Linked DNA regions of Arabidopsis thaliana. The protein of the gene in region 1 interacts with the protein of each later gene in a pairwise test. Each region holds a gene or a part of one and is shown in the gene's direction. Other genes may lie near its edges.

Region 1 (5,138 bases):
TTTGTTTGTTACAAGAATTCGAATATTCATGTGTTTATTTCCTTCGTATAGCATATATATTTTCAGAATATTTCACAATTCAAAAAAGCCTTTATGAAAATTTTAAAAGAAGAATATTCGGTGTTGCATGGGTTTTAGTTACGCTCGTGTCTCATAATGGTCACACGTTTTGTTTTGTTTTGGCCTAAAGGGATTCCATCATAAACTGAATTTTACTACAGTAGACACGCCTATCCCAATGAATCAAATGGTACAAGACACGTCTAAGGACAAAATCGACTTAACAAAATGTTCTTCATTGGAATATTTTTCTATAGAAAAATTTCAACAGATAAAAAGTTAAAGAACGGATGAAAGAGTGCGAAAAATTCTTGTTGGTGGGGTAAGTATTTTCTTTTTGGACATGAACAATTTTCAAAGGGATATATTAAGAATATTAATCAAAAACTTATAAAGGTTGGAAAAAAAGGAAGAGGAAGATAGCACAAAGCCACAAAGTCATCCACAAGAGTAAATCATATGAAGACGAAACAAAATTCAACAAAGTGATATATTCCATTTTGATATTCAAAGCCAAAATGCTTTTAGGGCATTGGTTGCTTTGAGTGTATGTATTTTTCTCCCCTACAAATACAACTCTCTTTTATCTTTGTGAGTGATTCAAACTTAAGTTAGGAGGCATGTAAGGATGTTGTATAATCAGAATTTAAATTTAAATTAGAGAAATAGACAATAAAGTTGTTTAATTCGTCTTTAGGGCGAAATAGCTTTAAACCTAAATTTGTTTTTTTTTTGTTAGAATCTTTGTATGATGTTCCCTTTTTACAATGAGTTTCTATTTCCTTACGTTGTTTTAATTTATTTTATAGCTTATGATAAGTTTCATTCAAATCAGTGTGCCTTTTTAAGAATTTTGGGTATATTATGGGAATGAGAGAAACTATAAGGAAAAAAAAAGATAAAGCTTTAGCAGCCTTGGTAGAGAAAGTAACATCACTCAAATTCATAATAACACACAAGTAAAATATAATAATATTTAAAGACAAATTCAGAAGAAAGTTATAGCTTTTTCTACATGAAATAAAATCGAACTAGAATCCCTAGCTAAAGTAATAAGGAAATACAAATAGAAAATAGCACAATTGAACAAGTATACTTATACTCTTGGCAATAAGTCAAACAATTTCATCTTGGATACTTAATTTTCCAGTAGATAGTTTCCTATTAGATATTCCTCAATGGTTGTATTACTAAATTTAGTTCTTCTATTATAAGAACAACGTTTATTTTGGCTAAGTAATTGTGTGTTTAGATTCTCTTTACAAACTTAAACAAAACAAAAAAAGTTTCCATTATTCAAACCCCAATAAATTGAAAAGAGGCACACTTTTCTTGATATAAAAGTGATTATTACTTCCATTTAAGGAAATTAGGCCTGATAAGTCTCATCTCACAATATTTTCCATTAATTGCACAAATTGATAGCTTGCTTTTTTTCTTTCTGGGTCTACTCTTCTTTTTTAGTAGACAATTTCAAGTAAATGCTTATAGTCTGAACCTGTAATCATCACTCTTCTCTGTAATGCAGAACACTTAAAAAATTACATAAAATAAAGAATAAAACTGAGGAATAAAAAATAAAAAACAGTTAAAGATATATGAAAACAAAGTCAAAGTCTCACTTTCAAGCACAATCTCTTTCCTCTGTGGTATTTATCTGCACATAGAAAAACTAATAAAAATGGGAATCAAACAGTCTTTGCATTTATTGTAAGCACACACATATATGTGTACATGATAGTGACATTGGAGAATAATCCATCATGGTCGTCTTCTTGCTTTTGAGACTATACATATACATGTGCATTATATACACTACTCAAGTAACTAAATTATTTAATTTTGCATATATAGCCAAAGAATGATGTCTTTCTGTGTACACTTACTTCTTACTCTCTAGGTACTTGCAGTTCCTTATTTTAAGAGATCAGAAGAAACCAAAGTTTGGATCTTTTTATAGTTTTCTTCCAAGTTTTGTTTTTGTTTTTTCTTTTGTTGGAGTTTCCTTCTTCATATAGCTATAACCATATAGCTAGCCATGGATATGTTTTCTTCTCATTCCTTGTCCTATAAGCTAAGCTCTTTGTCTACTGAAGCAAGTGCCTCTTCTGGTAACAACACACTCAGTACCATCCAAGAATTCAGTGGCTTTCACAATGTGATTTCTAGTGTTTGTACACACACAGAGACTCACAAGCCTAAGAAAAAGAGAGGCCTTCCTGGAAATCCTGGTAAGAAAATAGTACTTTTTTTTTTTTTTTTTCATTTGGAATCTTGAAAAACCAAATGAATCAGGATACTGTCTTTGATTCCTGGTAGAATCTTGGAACCTAAACTTTTTCTTATGGGGTTTTGCAAAAAAGTCTTCCTTTTTTTAATATTAGGGTTTGTGTGAATATCATCTTTTTACCAAGACTATGTGTTTGAGACTTTATTTTTCATGTGAAACTGGTTTATTATGTGGCAGATCCAGATGCAGAAGTGATCGCATTATCACCAAAGACACTTCTTGCAACAAACAGATTCGTTTGTGAGATATGCAACAAAGGGTTTCAAAGAGATCAGAATCTACAGCTTCACAGGAGAGGCCACAATCTTCCATGGAAGCTGAAACAGAAGAACACCAAAGAACAACAAAAGAAGAAAGTCTACGTGTGCCCAGAGACAAACTGTGCTCATCACCATCCATCTAGAGCTCTTGGGGATCTCACAGGGATCAAGAAACACTTTTGCAGGAAACATGGAGAGAAGAAATGGAAATGTGAAAAGTGTTCAAAGTTCTATGCTGTTCAATCTGATTGGAAAGCTCATACCAAGATCTGTGGTACTAGAGATTATAGATGTGACTGCGGCACTCTTTTCTCGAGGTAACCCTTTTTTAATTTTTCATTTTTTTGTTCTTTATGTCAAGTTCTTTCTTTGTTCCTTGTCTTTCTTGAAAATTTTACTGATGTTTCTGTGACAAATCTAAATTATTGTCTATCTCTATAGAGATAGGAGTCAATAGTTTTTCTTGGAGTAGTTTGATATATATAGATGAATTTAATGCTTTCGTGTGACTGATTTCAATTGTCTTCTTTTGGTTATGTTCTTTGACAAATCTGCTTGTGACTGTCCATGGAATATAGTTTGAGTGCAATTAAATGCAGTGGCAAAATTCATGGATTAAGACATTATATTTACATGTTGGCCATTATTGCGTGTATATATAATTTTTTTTTTTTTTACATAAATCACTTCACACTTTTTTAGAGCTAATATGTATGTATTTGTGTAATATAAATTAATTCTTGTCCAACAAAAAATGATTTTTTAATAACATTATATGTAAAATTTGTGTTGATTTAATGAGGAGATAAAAAGAAGCCTGCAGGTGAATCTTCTCCTTCATCATCATAATAGTGAAAAAGAATCTTGATTTGATTTTGTAATTTTTTTTTTTGTAAAAAGATTTTGATAATCTATGATTTGATTTGCTGTGTGTAAAATTGCATTGGTCCATCATGACATAATAGGCTTCAAAAGCTTTTCTTTGAATTTTGAAACTTCTTTATTATCTCTGTATGGTCCACTCCAAACTATTTCACTACTTGCAATTGCATCATTTTATTTTTGGTTTAATGTTACAATTGCATCATTATTGATCATACATACATATATTGTTTATGTTTCTATCTAATATTTGTTTTTGTTTGTTTGTGATATATATATTTTATAAACAGGAAAGACACTTTCATAACGCATAGAGCGTTTTGTGATGCATTAGCAGAAGAAAGTGCAAGACTCCACTCAACTTCTTCCTCCAATCTCACAAACCCTAACCCTAATTTCCAAGGCCATCATTTTATGTTCAATAAATCTTCCTCCTTGCTCTTCACGTCATCACCTCTTTTCATCGAACCATCACTTTCCACCGCCGCTCTTTCAACGCCTCCAACGGCAGCTCTTTCCGCGACGGCTCTTCTCCAAAAGGCCACCTCTCTCAGCTCCACTACTTTCGGCGGCGGAGGACAGACTCGATCCATTGGTCATCACCGACATTTGACGAACGTCAACGAGTTTCTTGGTGTTGACCGAGTCATGATGACGTCAGCTTCTTCGTCTGAGTACGACCAGTTAGTTGTTGATGGGTTTACGTCCACGTGGCAGAAAGCTGACCGTTTGACCAGAGACTTTCTTGGACTCACGGGTCATGGGGGACACGTTAGCGTCAGACCTGGGGATATGCTAGAGTACGCGGGTGGAGTGGCGTTTCCTATGTCGGCGTACGATACCGAATCTCATGATCACTCGTTTCAGAAGGCTTACGATCATCTGGGATTCTCAGGGGCCCATCGTATGTAAAAGGGCAAAACTGGAATCTTGTTACTTTCTTTATTTTGTTTCTCTCAAATTACTTAAATACCCTCGTGGACAAAAAAAAAGACACAGAGCATTTCTTTCTGGGGATTATTAATTTTCTAAAATTGTTGCTAGCTTTGAATTTTTGTCTCGTTTACGTTGGATTTTCTTGTAAAAATATATTCGTACAAGGAAGTAAGGAACATTTAGAATTTCCTTAGTCAATATTATGTCCGTTAAAAAACCTAAAAAAGTTTTTACTTGGACATTACATGAAAAATCAAAAATAATATGATTTTCCTTAAAAAATGGATCGGTAAAAGTCCCACAAAACTGCAACGTCTCTAGGGATTGACGAATGTGTCCTCTCAAAGCCAGCTTATTTGACTGTGATAGATACTATACAAGTATACAACTTCTTTCATCATATCCACGTTACATGTATACATCATGTAATATGCACTTTTGTCTTCTGAAGATATATATTGCCAATCTTATACACATTGAGAAATACATATTCATCGTAACTCAAATTTGGCAATAGGTGTCGACAAACATATTTATTGTTGTTCTGATTGTTGTTAACAAGTTTCTATCGTAATCACTAATCAGTGACAAGGAGCTTATACTATTGATGGTCATTTATGTTGCCACTATGGCATTAGTAACGAACACTAACATGTATGTATCATTTTCATACTGTGATGAATAGTCGCTATACCAATCACAATTAATTT
Region 2 (3,893 bases), on another chromosome or scaffold:
GCTAAAATTATTCCACATGCTATTGGATAAATAAAAGATTATCGTTGACAGCATACTTATTTGGAATTCTTCTTTCCCTCGATTGATATAATATTACAATTTCTTACTTCAAAATTTTAAATAAAGGACCTGAGCGAGAGGAAAGAGGCTTTGATTGCATGAGACACCTATTGGTGGCAAGAAAGTCTACCAATCAGAGATCTTAGGTTGTACGAGTGAATATAATTATAACACCTAATAAGGATTAATTATTGTTATTTCACTTAATTGTCTTGATCTATCTTTTAAGTTACAGAGCAGTGGGGTCCTTAATTGGAACAACTGTCCAAACCAAATGCCATTTCATTAGACTTATTTGTATTAAAATAAGATTATCCCATGACTTGATTCACCTGAAAATAGAATAATCTATACCTTTCTTTAATATCAGTTTTCTTTCTGTATAAAATATTGTCTTCTCATGCTTTATGAAGATTTGCCCAAGATCTTGTTTTGAAGATTAGACTTATGAATATAATTTTTATTTGTTAAATAGTATAGATGCTTGCATCATTGCCCACTTCTTGTATTCCTTCATTTGGCAACTAACTATTCTCCCTGTTTAATGTAATAAGTAATTAACATTCATTAAACATGGTCAAGATAGGCTTTTTCTTTCTTTTTCACAGTAATTAGACAAATAAGATTTGGTTTAGGTGGAAGACATTGAGATAAATTACAAGAAAGCTTCAATTCATGCTCCATCATCAATTCTCTCTGCGAGCAACTTTAATTGATGGGAAATTTCAAAAATCTACAATGATAATTACATAAAAACACATCAATAAAAAGAATATCCAGTAGACTATTAACTTTGTTAGAGAACAAGGGACGACGATTCGTTTGATTTCGTTCTTGTTGCAATATGCTCTTGAGTGAACGTTTTGATACAAAATGTCATCTGCTCGCTTAAATTTATGATGGATATATGCGTTATTCAAATACATAGTGAAATTTAATATCATTATGGGATCAAAATATTATACTTAACCTTCCATGTTGATTATATTTTTTGGCCTAAGTTGGTTAGCCTTATTTCTTCATATCTTTCTTTGACTTTTGATATTAGATCAATAATATGATATTAACATCTTAATGTTCTCTTTAAGCTTAGAATATAACTTTTGTATTAATTGTCACAAGTGGTGTGATCGCTGCATGCCTTTTCAAATATATTTATTTATTCATCATATCTCAACTTAATCTAACTATTTTATTCACGCACTAAACAGAAAGTATTTTTCCACAATATTTAAAATAAATTAAATTTGATCAATTTTAAGTAAATGTAGATATAATAGTATAATACATAAGATAAAAGATAAAACAAGTTGACAAGTTAAGTCTTTATATATAGTATTTAAAAGATTTCTCTAACCCGTTTTATCATTTTGCCCTTTTTCTTTCCCATATATGCATATGCGCGTGGTATCCACATATATCTCTATAAAACCTATTACATGTTAGTGTAATATTTATTGTACCTATCAAGGTTTATTTTCCAAGATCATTTCTCGTCACACCTTAGATTCAAACAACTAATTTTATTATAAACCCTAAAATACTATAACTTGATGCTGTTCATGACTAATATAAAAAACCCTTCATACAATATAAAATTTCTTTAGACATACAATATATTATACTATTACAGATGCAATGCATCATTAGTTACAAACTATTAAACTAAATATCCCCCGTCTCTCTCTTGCTATATAAAGAAGATCATTTACACATCTCCTTAAGCAAATTAAACCCATCGATAAACACATACGTTCACACATATATGTCTATAAATCCGACAATGTCTCGTACTGGCGAAAGTTCTTCAGGTTCGTCCTCCGACAAGACGATAAAGCTATTCGGCTTCGAACTCATCAGCGGCAGTCGTACGCCGGAAATCACGACGGCGGAAAGCGTGAGCTCGTCCACAAACACGACGTCGTTAACAGTGATGAAAAGACACGAGTGCCAATACTGCGGTAAAGAGTTTGCAAATTCTCAAGCCTTAGGAGGTCACCAAAACGCTCACAAGAAGGAGAGGTTGAAGAAGAAGAGGCTTCAGCTTCAAGCTCGGCGAGCCAGCATCGGCTATTATCTCACCAACCACCAACAACCCATAACGACGTCATTTCAGAGACAATACAAAACGCCGTCGTATTGTGCATTCTCCTCCATGCACGTGAATAATGATCAGATGGGTGTGTACAACGAAGATTGGTCGTCGAGGTCGTCGCAGATTAACTTCGGTAATAATGACACGTGCCAAGATCTTAATGAACAAAGCGGTGAGATGGGTAAGCTGTACGGTGTTCGACCGAACATGATTCAGTTCCAGAGAGATCTGAGTTCTCGTTCTGATCAGATGAGAAGTATTAACTCGCTGGATCTTCATCTAGGTTTTGCCGGAGATGCGGCATAACAAATTAAAGAGAGATATATGATTAAGATTATATGTACTATAGTGGCGTATTTCATTGGGATCATGAAGGGGAAAAAACGAGACATATAGTATTCTTGATGCAATTTGAGTTTTGTAATTTATTTAGGTTTATGTATGTTTTCGAAGAAAAAAATAATTCCAAGTGATGTTGTGGAATTATTCAAAAAAAGAAAAAAAACTTTATTAGATGGCTTTACTAGAAAATTCTCGATCATCATCGTCATCCGATACAAAATAAAGTCAGGTAGAGGATCGAGCATTTATAAATTATGGAATAACAATAAATCGTACTATGGAAGCAAATCATTTTCTTGTTCCTTAGTTTGCTGACCGTACATATACTAGTTGACAAGGTTAATCCATAAATCTCTTTGTATCATTGTGTGCTGTGTTTTTTTTTTTTTTTTTTTAATACTGTGTGCCGTGTTGGTGCATTTGCGTAATTGATGGAGGCAACATTTTGAACATAATCACTTTCTTGTTGCTTAATTAGTGTATATGGCCATGGGTACGTTCTTCCTATTGGTACATATGCATGTATTTATATTACAAGGTGAGTATTCGTTACAAGTTGTGTACATATGTTCTTACACGTGCAATTCGTACACGCCTCAATTTGATTTATAGTCAAATTTCAAAAAATTTGTTAGAAATTTCATCTCAAAAGTTATAATATGATCTAACGTGAGACTAAAAAACATATGTGAATTTGAATGATATAAACTTGATGTTTTTTTTTAATAACCTATATACTTATTGTAGGTACAATCCAACGATTTTATGAATGTTGTATTTTTTTTGTATACACTGTAAAGACGATTTTATGTCATGGCTATTAATATAAGAATATACATTTTAAAAATAAGATTTTAAACTGATGTCTCTTACCAATCTCAAGACGAGTACTTGTGATTCTTCGGAGACAATGAGAAGAGTTTGTAAATTCTGAATACTCCTTAAACGAACAGAATAAGTGAATTTAGTGGTGGATATAACTAGCTTGACTTTAGATCTTATTCTTTCAAATAGATTTGGTGTAAGATTGATTCGACATTTCCCATTAAATCTCCAAACAAATATGTGCATCAATTCGTAACTGTACAGCTTTAAAAATACATATAATAAATGGAGTCGGCAGGTTTGTATATTAAATTAATTTGCGTGATTGGAATGATAAGCTTAAGATCCATCATCCAGTGTTGGAGGTCCCTTTAATTTTTGTCTACACATGTCACTTCCGACACCAACGGAACTCCATTTGCTTATGTGTGTATTGGATGCTTATCCCATTTAATTAAAAAAAAAAATGTTTTTAAAAGGTATTATTCCTTTATTGTCCAATTCGTATGTTTCCTAATTTTGGTAAATATGTTTTTGTTAAGTTTGAAACATCGTTCCTTGCATTACGTAT
Region 3 (4,811 bases), on another chromosome or scaffold:
ACACTAACCCCCTTGCAATTTGCAGCGGATTTCATTCATCTTCGATCTAGCATGTTTGATTTATTCAATCGAATTCTTCTAAATCAGCTCGTTGCGATTTCTTTGTAATCCCTACGAGATAACGGATTTGAAGGTATTAAGGTCCCAAACTACTTGACAAGAGCCGGAAACAAATTCGACACCAGAGACCGATGATGAAATAAAGCTATAGAGAGCAGGAAATATGTAAAAAATCAAACACAGAAAGCGATGAATCAAACAAAATCCTAGCTCAAGAAGGAATTTTATAAATACCTGGAGACGAAGAACCCTCCTTAGAGAGATTGACTGGGATCGGGTTTCCAGTCATCATGTAAGCTGAGAAATCGCAGAATCGGGAGGAATAACGGAGAAGAGAGAAGAAGAAGAAGATGATCGGAGATTATGCGATTGTTAGAAGTCGAGAGAGAAAGGGGAAAGAAGAAGCTGTCAATAATAGAGAATTGTAGAAGCAACGTAGATATTCTTTGACCCGTTTACCTTCTTCCTCTTTCTTTTTTTGCCACGCATATCTTCTTTTTTTCCCAATTTTTACTCTATTTTTTTAGAATAATGGAATTTGTTCTAATAAAATTAAATTCATTAGGTATTATTTTTTATTTGATAATATTAAAAGGATTTTTTTTATAAAAAAAAGGAAACTAGGTAGATGACAATGAAAATATTCACCATTTTTTTCCCAACTAATCCGTGTTCTTTTAGATTTGGCCTAATCCCTCTAAGTAGTTATATTTTGCCTATTCCCTTTCTATCGTCTATTCCTAAAGAACAAACATGTAATGCATTCGTTTGTTCTCCCAAAGCCTAAGCAAAGCTTCTTTGGTATTCCTCTCTTAAGAAAAAAAATACAATGGTGCAATATGATTTCAAGAATATAAGTGTCGTCCCAATCGGAAACGAGTTTGTCGATCTCAGTCTTTCCCGCGTTCATCGTCAGACTCCAAATATCCGATCCTTAAACTGATCCCTCAAACTGATCTTAATAATGATCATAATGCTTCAGACTTGTTGGTTGATTCAGACGTTTTGTTTAGGCTTGAGGAATTGGCACATGAAGAAGGAATCAAGAAGGCTCATCATGAGAAACAAGAAGATGATTTTGTGATGGCCAAGGTACATATTAGGGAGGATCACAAGGACCAACTTGTTGCATTTCGCAAGAATATTCAACCCTTGCTGATTTTAATAGCCTTAGCATTTTTGGCTCTTGTAGCTGTAGGGAATACTTATCAAGTCATTCAAGAGTGTCTTTAAGCTTTTGAGTCTCTTTGGCTTATTGAGTTTTATTTTTGTTTCTTCCACATTTTTTCTTTCAATATTTAACATTTTTTCTGTTTACAACTGTGATTGGTAAAACAGAAACCAATCAAATGCTTCCACAAATCCCGAATAGTTATAGCTGACATTTTTATTGATTGCAAGTTTCATAGTCATTATCCCAAGATTTCAGTAACTTCGAACTGAAATTTTGTGCCATTAAAAGAAGTTGTGGGCCGTTAATGGGCCGGTAAAAGTTCCATTTTGTTAATGTTACAAAGAGATCAAATAAGGAAAACATGACGTCATCCATTTGACATTTTAGCTTATCGTAAACAGGCGCACCGCTTACTTCACGGCCCACGTTAAGCTAAATCTTTCCGGTTTATTGTCCTTTACAGAGAAATTTCGGTTTACATCTTATTTTGTGCACTGGGCCACGCCGGTTTAAGTTCCAATAAAAAAAACCGGCAAGAGTAAACAAAAAAGAGGAAAATCTCATCTTTTTCCCTCGACGACAACCACCTTAGGGTTAGGTTTATTTTCTCGCTTATTCTCTCTAACTCTTTTTCCCTATTCCGATTTCGATTTGTCTTCTCCGATTCGCTTTTCCTTTCGCTCTCTAGACTCTAGAGTCAATTTGATTTCTACTCTCGTATCGGATCTATACTTAATCATGGATACTCGTAAGAGAGGACGGCCTGAAGCTGGCTCATTCAACTCCAATGGCGGCGGATACAAGAAGTCTAAGCAAGGTTAGTTCTTTTACTCTTTATCTACTGGAATTCTGTTGTACCGATCTTTTTTAGTTCCTTATGTTTCACTGTCTCTGATTAAGGTTTAAATTCGAGATCTTAAGTTGTGGGTAAAATTAAGACTTTTTTTTGCTAGTTATGAGATTTACTAGGAGGCAAAATTTTCTTCTTTCGTTCTCGGTGCTTTGTTTTGGTGATTTCGTGTTCTGTTTGCTTACTTATCTTGTTAATTAGCTAGATTACTGCAAAAAGTACTGGCCTTTTTTATCTGATGTAAATCTAAATTGAGTGATGATAGATCAGCTTTAGCTAAGTTGTTACTATTGTTAAATGTTAATTACTGGGTTTTGTTGGTCTCAAGCTTATATCTTCCACTGTCCTTGAGTTTTAGTATTTCTTTACTTTAATCCCTCTTCTCAAATATAAAGCTAATAACAGTTTATAACCATACCAAGGATTTAGTTTTGTTGATTGAATAAGCCTTTTTCCTCTGCAAAGTGTTTTTGTGTCCAGTTGGTTAGTTATCCTGAAAACATTAAAAAACATTATGCATCTTTTGATTTGAAAGTTTCATATAGATGATAAGATGAATGTATGAATGATATGTTGGATTCTAAAAGCAATATATTGAACTTCAGATAAGTTTTTAACTAAAGGAAAACACTTAATGTTTGGAACAGAGATGGAATCATATTCAACTGGTTTAGGAAGCAAATCGAAGCCATGCACAAAATTTTTCAGGTTATAATCCTTTTACTTAATGAATTAATATTCGAATTGTTATCTACCTGCAAGTTTGATCCCGAAATTACCAAGTAATACTAGATGCTAATGAAGTGGTTAGTTGTTATACAGGTATGTAAACATGTTTCAATCTGAATAGATAAGCGTATCTAGTTTGAGAATCATTTAGTTCAACTGGTTGTTATAACATAACAAAATCAACCAAAACATGTATTTTGTTTGAGCTGTGATAGTTGTTCTTCTATTTGGTGGTAGGGTATTAGTGATTTTGGGTTTATAATATAGTTGTTTATGGTCAGGTAAAGTTGTCGCATTACTAGTGGAATTGCCGCGCATCTATAAGCAGAACCGGATTACTATTTTTATTCTCTTATAGCACAATGATCATTGCTGTATCAATATGCTATTTCTTCTGTCTCTATTTGGTTTGTTCTTGTGCTATTCTATTCCCATTGTGTTTAAATCTCTGATGTATTATGCTTCTATTGCAGTACTTCTGGCTGTCCTTTCGGAGAGAATTGCCATTTCTTGCATTATGTTCCCGGAGGATACAATGCTGTATCGCAGATGACAAATATGGGACCACCCATTCCTCAAGTTTCCAGAAACATGCAAGGTTCTGGTAATGGAGGCCGATTCTCAGGGAGGGGAGAGTCTGGGCCTGGCCATGTCTCTAACTTTGGTGACTCAGCCACTGCCAGATTCAGTGTTGATGCCTCTTTAGCCGGTGCAATCATTGGGAAAGGCGGAGTCAGTTCAAAGCAGATATGTCGTCAGACGGGAGTAAAATTATCAATTCAAGATCACGAGAGAGACCCAAACTTGAAGAACATTGTGCTTGAAGGAACACTTGAGCAGATAAGCGAAGCGAGTGCAATGGTAAAAGATTTGATTGGGAGGCTTAATTCAGCAGCTAAGAAACCACCTGGTGGTGGTCTTGGTGGTGGTGGTGGCATGGGTTCTGAAGGGAAACCACATCCAGGGAGCAACTTCAAGACTAAGATATGTGAGAGATTCTCAAAAGGAAACTGTACATTTGGTGATAGATGTCACTTTGCTCATGGGGAAGCAGAGCTACGCAAGTCAGGAATCGTCTAGTTGTTGCTTGCAGATAGAGAATTTGCTGGTAAAACTAGTTTCTTATTTAGTGGTGGTGATATCTGATATCATCTTCACCTACTTTGTTTTTGTTTGTTATGAGAGAATACAATTTTAGTTTCATTATCATTGTAAGTCTATTTGGTGTTTTTTTTAATAGTTTAGTTTTTGGTTAATTCTGAGTATGAATTGAGATGGGAGGAAGCTTGAAGAGAATGATTGACAAAACTCAGAAACAGTGGTTAGGATTGTATGACGCCTTTTATTCATATTCTTGTTATCTCCGTTATGTCATGTGTGTGAATCACTTATATAATTTTCGTAAGATTTTCTGAATATGTTGGAGTCTTTGCTAACTGTTTGAATCGAGATCAGTTAACACTTATTAAGAACAAAAATGTGGTTTCTTGTGAGAAAAATGGTTTAATAAAAATCCGTGATTGATAGAAGAAAAAGATCAAAATAAATGGTTGGTGACGGGTGATCTTAAAAATGTTGAAATTAAGGTGTGTCGTCGTTATACGCGGTAAATAGATAGATAGAAAAATAGAAGTCCAATGCAAGAGACTTAACTTAATCATCCCAATTAATTGATTGCATTAACTTGTACTTGTATTTTCCGTCCGCCACCTAATTTGATTAATAATATAATAAAGATTACAATTGAAAACATAAACAAGAGAAAATCCGCACGAATCTACCAAAGTGCATCACGTTTGGGTATCCATACACGTGACCACCAGTCCACCACAACACAATGTCTGTAGATATTTTAATGTTTCACATGATAGAAGAAGCCAAACGTAAGAACTCTCTTTTCCACTTTTAGCCCTTTCCCCGCCTACCACTGCTTACGACTTGTGTAAGTGGCAAACTAGTAATAATAGAGACGAAACTTAAATATAAAAAAGTTGAATC
Region 4 (3,701 bases), on another chromosome or scaffold:
ATACCACAAATGGTTGTATCATTTGGAGTTGGTCCTATTGATGCGTTATTTGGAGGTGGGAATTTACCAGGATTTGTGGTTGGAGCTATTGCAGCGGCAATCAGCAGTGTTGTGGCATTTTCCGTTTTACCATAATTTTTTTTGCGTTTTATTTGGTATATATGGACATGTTTAATATTATTGTAGCACTAGATAAGGACCCATACATGTATACTTGAAATTAATTTAAATTTCTCCTGTTAAATTACTGAAATTAATTTAAAATTTATGGCAGTTCTTACAAATAACACAAAAAATAAGTTAATTCCAAATTTAGCAAATCATCTCCAAAGTTCCAAAGTAACACAAATTAAATACATAAAACTTTTTTTTTTAACTTTATGGATGAATTAGGAAAATGTCGCCTAAAGATAAAAAAACAATTCTCTTGAAAAAAAAATATTCTTATATACCACGGTTTAAAACATTTTGTTCCAAATTGACTCTTAATTCCCACAAATTTTCTTTCTCTGATGGTAGATTATATGAGTCACAAAATTATCATTATTCGGTAGTAACTATTATTTTCTTTGTTTCTTATTAATTAATTTTTTAGAAAAAAAAGTTTGTTTCATGAAGCAATTTTTTAGGTTTTCTATACACTATTTATTAGTTATTATTGATGAATTTTAAACTTCAAGACAAATAATTAAATATCAGTAGTTTAAAATTATATAAAAATGTAAATCACAAAAGTTAATACATTTATAATCAATTTTAACATGTTTTTTTTAATCTATGTATTTTTTTCTAAAAAATGAATAATTAAAACATGACTAAATTTTGGCGACTTTCTATATCGTTTTGGCTAGTTTAATTATTTTATATTTTAATTATTTACAAAGATTGATATTACTGTCTTCTTTTCTTTTCTATTTTTGAACTATATATCACTCGTAAAAACTTCATCTTACACAAAAAAAGAAAAAAAGGTGATACATACGAATCTAAAGACCTGACTGCTTGAGAATACCTCTCTTCCTGGCATCAAAGGGATTGAAAAGAATGAAAATTGCGCTGACCAACGTATAAGCAGGATTGTTAAATTTACTGCACTAGGTTATTAAAAGGCCATACCTCTTCTTCAGATACTTTGTTTAACCACTCGTCTTGCTGATTCCATTTGCGTACAATAACCTTGTTTAGTCAACAAAAGATAGTGAATATATATTCACTTACGGTTTATACAGTTCCATGGTGCTACTAACAGGATATCACAGAGACCAGAGACCAGAACATTACTAAATGACATTTGAGGAATTTGATAAAAGTTCAAATTCGATAAAAGCTTTAAACTTTGAAGAAGTAGTTAACAAACCTGAGTATCGATTCCAACAAGCGTATGCTGAGGAACATCGAGAAAGAGAAGCGTAGCTCCATGCTTTACAAGCTCTAGTGCCTTCTTAGAATCCATAGCTTCCTTCTTCAAAATAGAGCGGAACAACGACTATATTCCAGAAGCCCCATTAAACAGGCCCATTAAAATATTGGGCCTATAAAGCGTGGCCCAAAACATGTGACAACGCGCGATTCACGCGGTTTACTTTATCAACCGACATAATCACATAAACGTTTATTTATAGAGAAACCTATCTTCCTGCCTCTTCAGATTCGTTTTATTTTTCAATCGTTTCAATTTCTAAAATTCTCAACGCGATCACCCCAATCCAAATTTAGGGTTTCTTTTGTCTTTCTGCGATCGATCTCTGGTAACTCATAACTTGTTGTTGAATCGCGAAGATGGCATCAAACGGATCCTTCTCTGCTCAGAGAAACGCAAACGCTGGAACAACGATGAAGAGACGAAACGACAATCGCGGTTACGGTGGCGGAATCGGATGTTATCAAGAGGAGAGGAACCGTTACGCGCCGCCGCAAAAACGTTTCAGATCGCAACTGCAACAGCAATTCCGATCTGGTCATAATCCTCTGTATCATTATGGTAGTAATACTAATAATAACGTGTCTAGGGTTTCTTCTCAGTCATATAACAATTACGGTGTTGATGTGATTGCTTCTAATTCAAGTTTTGCTTTACCTAACAATGATTCTAACACCAACAATTATCAGAAACCCTTTGTTGTTTATGGAAACCCTAATCCCCAAATTGTTCCTCTTCCATTACCTTATCGTAAGCTTGATCCTTTAGATTCGTTGCCTCAATGGGTTCCAAATTCAACTCCGAATTATCCTGTTAGGTCATCGAATTTTGTACCAAACACACCTGATTTTACGAATGTTCAAAATCCGATGAATCATTCGAACATGGTTTCAGTTGTGTCTCAATCGATGCATCAACCAATTGTTTTAAGCAAAGAATTGACTGATTTGCTTAGTCTTCTTAACAATGAGAAAGAGAAGAAAACTTCAGAAGCAAGTAATAATGATTCATTGCCTGTTGGATTAAGCTTTGACAATCCATCATCGCTTAATGTTCGACATGAATCTGTGATTAAGTCTCTGTATTCTGATATGCCGAGGCAATGTACTTCGTGTGGGGTGAGATTCAAATGTCAAGAAGAGCATAGTAAACATATGGATTGGCACGTAAGGAAGAACAGGTCGGTGAAAACCACTACAAGACTTGGTCAGCAACCGAAGAAATCGAGGGGATGGTTAGCGAGTGCATCTTTATGGCTTTGTGCACCAACGGGAGGAGGGACCGTAGAAGTAGCATCTTTTGGAGGAGGAGAAATGCAGAAGAAGAATGAAAAGGATCAAGTACAAAAACAACACATGGTGCCTGCGGATGAAGATCAGAAGAATTGCGCGTTATGCGTAGAGCCGTTTGAAGAGTTCTTTAGCCATGAAGCTGATGACTGGATGTACAAAGATGCAGTCTACTTAACCAAGAATGGTCGTATAGTTCATGTTAAGTGTATGCCTGAACCCCGACCTGCTAAGGATTTGAGAGAGCCGTCGAGGGTAATGTCTGTTACAGTTCCATCGGTTGCGAAAGCTATACTCTGCTGATTGAGATTTTTTATATCTCTGTTTTAGTCATTCGTTTTTTTAAAAGTAAATGTACATTACATTAATCAAGATGTAACACAAATACAGTTCTATCAATTGAATCTCCTATTTTACTCTTATCACCTCTTTACTTTTAATCCGGAGTTATAGAGTCTGTTTTATTGTAATCCAGAATTATAGTATAGATTGTTCCGGATTAACCAGTGAAATCTCACTTGATTCCCGGTTTACATAAACCAGACTCTCTATACCAATAAACCGAAACAAGGAAACCAATTCCTTTGTGTAACTCTCTATATTTATTCTCATTCTAATGAGATAACACATTCACAATCTATAAGTATAATGATGATGTCTGATCTTCCGGTGGCTTTGGTAGAAGAGATACTCTCTAGGGTTCCATTAACATCTCTAAGCGCGGTGCGATCTACTTGTAAAACGTGGAACGCTGTAGGATTAACATCTCTGTAGACTTATATTGGTATATGGTTTATGCGTAAGATTTCTCTTTTAAACCTTTTAAAAGAAGAATCTTTTATTTTGTTAGGTAACCCCTCGTCGGCCCTTTAAGTTTCTTACACCACGTGATCGGTTATCCTATGTATATACTACGTTCGTGAATGACCTATTGGGTATCCAATGCAAATCACAAGGTTAGACTAATACTGTTTGGCCCCATTTTTAATGAC

The links.
Region 2: the proteins of IDD12 (region 1) and ZFP5 interact in a two-hybrid assay, tested with the Arabidopsis thaliana proteins (one large-scale study listed by BioGRID).
Region 3: the proteins of IDD12 (region 1) and AT3G12130 interact in a two-hybrid assay, tested with the Arabidopsis thaliana proteins (one large-scale study listed by BioGRID).
Region 4: the proteins of IDD12 (region 1) and AT5G43620 interact in a two-hybrid assay, tested with the Arabidopsis thaliana proteins (one large-scale study listed by BioGRID).

Annotation. Positions count from the first base shown.
Region 1 is NC_003075.7:1,175,456-1,180,593, reverse strand, and holds IDD12 (indeterminate(ID)-domain 12), read left to right. Parts: upstream 1-1,969; 5' UTR 1,970-2,098; coding exon 2,099-2,291; intron 2,292-2,527; coding exon 2,528-2,927; intron 2,928-3,782; coding exon 3,783-4,404; 3' UTR 4,405-4,594; downstream 4,595-5,138. UniProt on the Arabidopsis thaliana protein: Probable transcription factor.
Region 2 is NC_003070.9:3,447,909-3,451,801, forward strand, and holds ZFP5 (zinc finger protein 5), read left to right. Parts: upstream 1-1,782; 5' UTR 1,783-1,825; coding exon 1,826-2,461; 3' UTR 2,462-3,318; downstream 3,319-3,893.
Region 3 is NC_003074.8:3,863,568-3,868,378, reverse strand, and holds AT3G12130 (KH domain-containing protein / zinc finger (CCCH type) family protein), read left to right. Parts: upstream 1-1,697; 5' UTR 1,698-1,972; coding exon 1,973-2,051; intron 2,052-2,731; coding exon 2,732-2,792; intron 2,793-3,286; coding exon 3,287-3,893; 3' UTR 3,894-4,308; downstream 4,309-4,811.
Region 4 is NC_003076.8:17,520,874-17,524,574, forward strand, and holds AT5G43620 (Pre-mRNA cleavage complex II), read left to right. Parts: upstream 1-1,612; 5' UTR 1,613-1,779; coding exon 1,780-3,012; 3' UTR 3,013-3,130; downstream 3,131-3,701. Other genes in the region: SUC6 (sucrose-proton symporter 6), read left to right, coding at 1-135.